Linked DNA regions of Daphnia pulex. Each later gene encodes a partner of the first gene's protein in a complex. Links are inferred from orthologs where the notes say so. Each region holds a gene or a part of one and is shown in the gene's direction. Other genes may lie near its edges.

Region 1 (4,031 bases):
CCTGACGTGATCAATACCTGAGCTACAGATTCCCCCATGCCCTATTTCAACCCCGCCAACGCATGTACAGCTGTGCAACCCCCCACCCATTTGCAATCGTCGCAAAAAGAAACAATTCACTTCCAAATGAACTCACTATCAAATTTTACCACCTGATATCTGCCTCTCATACGAATGCTACTGTTTGGATAAATTAGGGTCAGACTGCTGCATGTCACACAAGATTACTCAAGGTTTACTAGGCAGGATGGTATAAAAAAACCTGTGCTAATTATGAAACGAAGAGAGGAATTTTGAGAACATGCTTTGATTATGAAGGTGTCATGTTTCACCATCCAGAACTTTTATGATTGTGCAACACAGCGGTCTCCTTACCTTGAAATGAACGGATAGCTGCAGTACACACAAAGCAGTAGGAGCGAACTGGAAAATTGTGTCTAAAATGTCACTGAAAAATGGCTGTTTCAAGGAAACTCAGGATTCTTCAATAATTATTGAAAACGAAGGATGTCCCCACACGCACTCGACCCCCCTTTGGGTTCTTCAAAGCAAGTGACACAGATGGTGTAGCCCACACATATCACAATATGAAGAAAAACAAGGTTTCCACAGCTATTTGTAGAAAAAATAAATTGCACTTCACGAAGTTCGGTCTGGAATTCCTCTCTGATAGGCCGCAGATTCAAACTTTAATTTCAAACAGACAATAAACTGTCATGAAACGTAGATAATGTTAGTGTCACAAAAACTCGTTGCCTTTTCACTCGGTAGCCATATTGGAATAAACTGAAAACACCAGAGAAAAGAAGACTGGAGACCCGCAGACGAGGGAATTTTACAGCCCTGAAACTAGCGCTGTTTCAGACATAACGGCCACATAATAATATAGTGAAACACCAACTAAATTAAATAAATACATTGGCCTATGGAATTTGTAGTTAAATGAAATCGATAAAATATCATACAAATTTATATTAAGCATTCTGCATTCATTAAAGAAATACATGAAAATTTGAAAAATTTGAAAATCAAGTCTAAAACTTTGAGTTGCAATTTCCCTGATTTTATTATTTCGAAAACTGCGTTCAAATATTTTTAACAAGTAATTTAAAAAAATATATTAGACTTTGATTGTCTTTTCTCTTTCGACTTAAACGGTTTAAGTTATCCAAAGTTTTCATTAAACCATTCAAGGAGGCGCTGCTATCGTTTGACGAATACCCAGTCTCATTTTCTCTCTTACGTTGTAAATCGAAATATCGAATCGAAAGTTTGAAAGTTAGGTATCGATTCTAGTCCAAGCTTTTTTGACAAGTAAACAACGTAAATCGTACATTCGTACGTGAATTGTCTTGTCAAATTTAAAATTTGGGCCGAAAAATGGTTCCGGGTAAAGGTAATATCTCCAAAGGAAAAGGAGCTACAAATGTCAAAGGTTCAACGTCAGCCACTAAAGTCAAAAGGGAAAGAGTTTCAGAACCTGAGGACTCAGATGAAGAAGTTACTCTAGCTGATGTCCGAGCTGTCGACTATGGAAAGGTTTTACCTCGTTTCACATCCAGTAAGAACTAATTTTTTTTGTTTTTCTGTTGGTTTTCTAATTAACAAAGATATAAATATAATCAATTGTTTATAGTTACGGCTAGATCAGAAGAAGGGGGTGTTATGATGGATGATTTGGACACCTTACAAATGGAACTAGAAACACTACTCAATTGTGTTGTTTTGCGTTCCTTAAATTTACAGAGAGAAATTGCAGGAATGACTGAAAAGGTATTCATCAAAGTTTTTTTTTCATCTTGTGTCTATTTTCTGTTTGCCAACAACACTATGTGTTTTTTTTTAGCCTCCATCTCCTGGAAAACGATCAAAACAAGAAGAGCGTTCACCTAAAAAGTTCAAAGATCAACCAGGAAAGCTTAGAGATGCACACACACCTCCACTTTTAAAGCAGATGAAAATTAAATCTGCTCTAGCTGTACCTAGTTTCATGAAAAGTAGTTTTATTTACAGTCAAGTAATGATCTCTTTGATTTTATAGAAGCCTATCCCACCAGAAGGAGTTGTTGAGGAAATGCCTCCTTTAGAATTAATGAAGACATCAACTGCCAAAAATGATACACCAAACAAATTTTGGGCTTCTGTAGAACCATACTGTGCTCTTTTTACAGATGATGATTTAAAGGTAAAATGATTTGTATAAGATTAACATAACTTGGAATTAAATTTTTTTTCTTGTGGTAATTGATGTTTTAACTAAAGCTAGTAGAAGAACTAATCTCAACTCATAATGAGGATGAAGAATACCTCAAAATTCCTCCTCTCGGTCGCCACTATACACTTCGGTGGGCAGAAGATGATTTACTTCAGGAGCAAAGAGAGGGCTCTCGTTTCGGCGAGAAAAAGAAGATTACCTCTGGATCTTCTGTAGGAACGGAAGAGGCTCAAAGATTAATGGACACAGCAGCTAAAAACAAGTAAAAAATTAATATTTTTTTTTCTAATAGCCGCATATTGCTTAACGATAGATTTAATAACTCAGTGCTGAAACAAATACTACATCTGCGACGGGGATGTGCGGACCCATGACCCAGCGTCTCATTTCAGCTCTTTTAGAAGAAAATATTGTAACTTCTGTGCAGGACACAATGGAATCAGAAGGGCAAGGTATATTGTTCATTGTTTTCCTGTTTAAAACTAATGCCAACTAGCGGTTCGAAATTACTGTAACAGACGAAAACGCGAAATCTACTGGCACGAAGGCAGCAATGAATGGACCTCAAGCTGCTGCACTTGAACGTCGTATTCGTCAAGAGTTAGAAGAACAAGGCATTTTAACTTCCGAAGAAGCCAACGTTAATTCGGTAATTTATTCATTCAAAACACATTTCAGAGGTAGTATTATTAACCCCCTGATTAAGGCCGATGATGAAATATTGACGGAGTTACGTCGATGCCAAGGAGAATTGAGGGCCATATCACTGCACAACTTGAAACAACTGAAACGACTGTACCGCCTCAGTCAAGAAGAAATGAAACGTCAGGAAATACGGAAAAAATTGATTGCAGCGGACGCTGAGGTATTCATTTTTCAAGTGTCATCTCTGCTTATCGAGCTCGTCTACATTATTCCCAACTTCTTTTGAATAGGTATTAGACGTATATCGTAAAATGGCTGCCGCTAAACAAAAAAAACGCCCGTTAAGCAAAAAAGAAAAAGATCAGATGTGGAAAATACTTCGTGATCGTGAAGCGATTGTCAAACAGCTGGACACGGGAACGACTAGTATGTAAATATTTTTTCAAACAATACAAGACGTGTGTGATGAAGATGAACTAAGATGGTTAATTGAACTTTGCATAACAATATAAACTTTTAACAAGCCTTGTTTATTACTTAAATCAATTAGCATGTATTCAACAATGAAAAGTTGAGGTTACTTGAAGTTGATAAGAATTTAATAAGAATTCTTTCAACTTCTCCAAAACTGAGGATTCAATTCTAGTTTTCTAATAAAGTTAGTGTACCAGTTTCTTAAAACAGACATTGGGATGAAACTTTCTGATGGATTTGGTGTCATTTGTGATTGAGTAACAGCAAAACTTGCTGCATAATTGAAAAGATTTTGAAGAGTACGTTCAGCAAACTCCTGGAATGTTGTGGTGCTACTAGGCTCTGTAATGGCACTAGGAGATTGATTGGAAATGAGGCTAAGAGGCTCAATTGAAATCCCTATTTGAGCATGATGATGTATTTCCCCCTGGTGCACCCCAAACATACTAGGGCTATAACTTCCCGGATTCTTCTTCAAGCCAGTGATTTTGTAAATGCTTGACGGTTTGTTATTGGTGAGGTTACCTAGTAGTTGCCACACTGGTGGGGCTGATAGATCTGGCTCGGGCCACCTGAAGTACACTATTAAAAAAATTATTTTGTGGTATTTTAAAATCTATCTTCCGGAGTATGCAAAAATTTTTCCTTTAACATAGAATTGTACTCTAACCAACCTGATCCACCAAATCCCTCTGGG
Region 2 (3,518 bases), on another chromosome or scaffold:
AATATTGTTTGCCCTGATAAAAAGAAACGTAACTAACATTTTTAGTTTTTTAGTTTGGAGGTTTGTCATTACCCCAAGGATTGAACAGTTGAAAATGCAGCAGCTATAGCAGTGGCAGCCTGTGCTTGAACCATTTGTATGGATGAGTAGGGTCCCTCAGCAGTATTATCCATTGTAAAGAGTGAACCAGTGCTGGGAACTGAACTGATCCTTCCCAAACTCTGTGAGGCATCCTCCAGCATGTGTCTGGCTGTATTCAAACGCAACAGAGAACTACTTCCGGCTGGAGCTGGTACTGAACCTTCATTTGATCGTAAACATTGTTATTGAGATTTCTACTTTTAATAATGATGAGAAATTTACCAAATGAATGATTGGCACCATTTTGAAACCCTCTGTCTAGGTGGTAGTGAATGTTTCCTGGTCTAGATCCTTGAGTTCTTGGTGGTCCTGAAGGAGGATTACCAACTGTTGGAGGTGCTCTCTGGACCAAGTGAATGACTTTTCCACTCAGGTCTGTAAAACACAAAAACATTTACATGCCAATCATTTGTTTTGAGCTAGGAAAGAGTATTTTCAATTTACCATATTCACTGAGCTTTTTGTCATCTTGAAGAACTCTGCCACAGTAAATCAAACGCTGAGTCTCTGCTGGTGTTCCTACATCCCCAGCAATGTGTTCTTTAAGTTCCTTGACTGTGAGCTGCAAAACAGAAATCCAGTTAGTTTCCCCTATCTAAAACTCACGAGTCGTTTCTTTTAATGGTCTTACCTCCTCTGAAACTGTGAATTTATGATTACGCGAATCGAGGGTTTTGACGGTAACTTCAATATTTGCCATTTTTGTTTAGCTTTCACCACCTCGAGTTCCAACCTCGCTGTAGTTTGGTGACGATACAGACACACTAATAATAATTATTCGGTTTCAGTATTTTTTATTTTACCGATCTAACCGGACGGCTCTGAACCGACGTCAGTTGTGTAATGGGTGTCGAAATGTAAATCTCTAACGTGGAAAACTGGAAATCGGGCCTGTAATAATACACGATAACAAATAGAGGCGCAACTGTCTCCACATCGAATCGACACGACACGACACAGCCGACAATTCATAGGCTTACGAACCAAGTTGTGTTACAACGCCACCTATTTCTCTTGGTTTTAAACCGTAAAAGAGGAATTCACTTCAATTTCATGATAATTTGTACATTTTACGAACAAGATTTTATCTAATTTTACACGTTATATTTATCAATGACAAATTCAAGGAAAAAATTATTTTATGAAAATCAATTCCTGGAATGAGCACCATCTTTTGGTGGTTTTCGATAGTCGAGGCAAGACAGGTGTAGACGAAATCCAATGGCGAGTTAAATCTAAAAAAGTGAGCGAAGCAGTTCAAAAGTCAGAACACAACAACAATGAATGCACTTGATGTTAACGAAGCCAGGAAACGGTTGGTGGATGTTTTGGGAGATTCTTCTAAGAAGTAAATAAATCAGATTTGATATTTGTGGTGGTATATCTCTAATATCATGTTTTATTTAGTTATTTTGCCCACCTGAAATCGTGGTTTTGTATGAGGGTAAGAAATGTTTCTTTTATACTATCCATTCAGTCATAACTGACATTCTCTCTATTTAGACAAGCAAAGAAGAGTTTGATCGCCAAGCCAGATTGTACCTGAAAGTAGACCAAGTTCATCTTCACAATGAGTTTCTTTTGGCCATTGTTACAAAATGTCAAAGCTTGTGCCAGCCTTCAACCTATGTCTATCATGGTGTGAAGCAAAAGCCAATTGTTGTCACTGAAGTGAACAAAATCAGACCACATACCATTCCTCTACAGAAACGTAATTCTGTTGAAATCAAACCGATCACTGTGACAAGACAAGTTTACCCAAAGAACAAGCCTCTCACTGTCAACTTTGATGTAATATGTCTTAATTATTGGAATTTTCATTGGAGACCTTGATTAACATAATTCTTTTCTTATCTAGAATCGATTCCAACCAGTGAATCCAGTTTCTCTGTTACCATTTTCTGCTCCTTGCACTGTAGAGAAACCACAGCTTCGTTACTGCAGCCAGGATCTAATTTTACCTGACGCTGGACTCGTTCACGGTCGAATGCTAGTAGCAGCTTGGGATGCTGGTTTGGATCATGGTTGTGAAGACAAAGCCATCAAACTGATACTGGCAGCTACCAAGCAATTTCTTAAAGAACTGATAATTGCTATCATAACAAACCGGAAAGGGTACCGCCTTCGAGAGAACAAAGTCATCTATTCGGTTGGCCAACCTACAATTAATCCGTGGCTACACAATTCATGGTCCATCCAAGACAGTACCAGTAACAGGTAAATATTTATTGTACAGTCCTATTCTTTTTCAACAACAATGTTTCTAAGTGTTCTCATTTTAAATCAGTTATCTGACCGAAATTTCGCAAGCTGCGGAACCACCTCACGTTCCTGCCATACCCCAAACATCTCAGAAAGCAGAGCGGGATTCCGCATTCTACCTAGCGTGCACTACCGAACAAGTTACCGCACTTCAACCGATTTCCGTTCTTGACGTTTTTCAAACTTTACAAGTAAGTCGATATTTAATTTCAAAACTTCAAACTAATCCTCATGTTTCTTTATTGAATAAACAATAGGTTAAAAAGGGCGTCATTCCCTGGCACACAGTGCACGCCGTCAATATGGAACGCATTTCACAGCGCCTCTATCACCCCAATTAAACTCGAATCTACTTGCTTAAAGAAATTATAACGATTAAAAAAAAAGATGTTTGTATTGTCGACGAGGAGGCCATGAGAAGTCAAGAATGCCAGGAAACTTTTTTATACCAAGAAATTGCATTTTTTTTTCCTCAAAATTCTCCTATAAAGTACACACCTCAAAACTGCTTTTCATCGTCTTTTTTCCCATTATTTTTTGTTGTTGGTTCATTGCGACAAAGCTAAATGCGCGGTCTACGTGTCGGAACGCCAGAGCTTGATAGTCTTATCGTTCTCCAATGCAGCAGATGCGATGATATTATCGGTCGGATGGCATGCAGTACACAGCACGACATCTAGAATGAAACATGAAGGGATATAAGTTCGCGTGTGACGTCTAGACAAATTAAATGTGAAAGAAGGAGCAGGTCCCCCGGTAGGAAGCCTTACCGGTGTGTCCTTGAAGTTTCTGAACAATTTCCTTCGTTTGCAAGTTCCAAATATAAACCATGTTGTCTTCAGAGCCGGAAACGATCCACTGCAGAAAGAAAAACATGTTCAAGTAAAAGAATGAAACGTGGATTGTTAAAGCAGTACTTTTCCTCCAGTAACCGAAAAATTGGCAAAGATGCAATATTTCTCGTTTTTGTGGCCGGTGTAGGTTTTCAAGCATTTGCCCTGAAACGAGCCAAAGAAAAAAGAATGGTAAAATCTGCAAAAATCTTTAGAGTTGAATTCATGATGACACCTTGGAATAGTCCCACAACTTCAGTGTGTTGTCGAGAGTTGCAGCCA

Evidence for each region.
Region 2: transcriptional adapter 3-B-like (region 1) and transcriptional adapter 1-like share a complex: the UniProt entries of both Homo sapiens proteins name them as parts of the STAGA transcription coactivator-HAT complex. The link is inferred for Daphnia pulex from reciprocal best matches to the Homo sapiens genes TADA3 and TADA1.

What each region holds. Positions count from the first base shown.
Region 1 is NC_060019.1:11,487,384-11,491,414, reverse strand, and holds transcriptional adapter 3-B-like, read left to right. Parts: upstream 1-1,228; 5' UTR 1,229-1,380; coding exon 1,381-1,561; intron 1,562-1,636; coding exon 1,637-1,773; intron 1,774-1,846; coding exon 1,847-1,978; intron 1,979-2,041; coding exon 2,042-2,185; intron 2,186-2,262; coding exon 2,263-2,477; intron 2,478-2,542; coding exon 2,543-2,667; intron 2,668-2,733; coding exon 2,734-2,864; intron 2,865-2,921; coding exon 2,922-3,080; intron 3,081-3,150; coding exon 3,151-3,294; 3' UTR 3,295-3,384; downstream 3,385-4,031. Other genes in the region: protein OPI10 homolog, read right to left, coding at 3,474-3,916, 4,009-4,031. UniProt on the Homo sapiens protein: Functions as a component of the PCAF complex. The PCAF complex is capable of efficiently acetylating histones in a nucleosomal context. The PCAF complex could be considered as the human version of the yeast SAGA complex.
Region 2 is NC_060023.1:11,640,496-11,644,013, forward strand, and holds transcriptional adapter 1-like, read left to right. Parts: upstream 1-1,329; 5' UTR 1,330-1,421; coding exon 1,422-1,489; intron 1,490-1,548; coding exon 1,549-1,585; intron 1,586-1,644; coding exon 1,645-1,932; intron 1,933-1,999; coding exon 2,000-2,358; intron 2,359-2,428; coding exon 2,429-2,594; intron 2,595-2,660; coding exon 2,661-2,744; 3' UTR 2,745-2,911; downstream 2,912-3,518. Other genes in the region: large proline-rich protein BAG6-like, read right to left, coding at 1-13, 73-301, 364-516, 586-703, 773-841; WD repeat-containing protein 5, read right to left, coding at 2,979-3,079, 3,174-3,261, 3,321-3,401, 3,472-3,518. UniProt on the Homo sapiens protein: Probably involved in transcriptional regulation.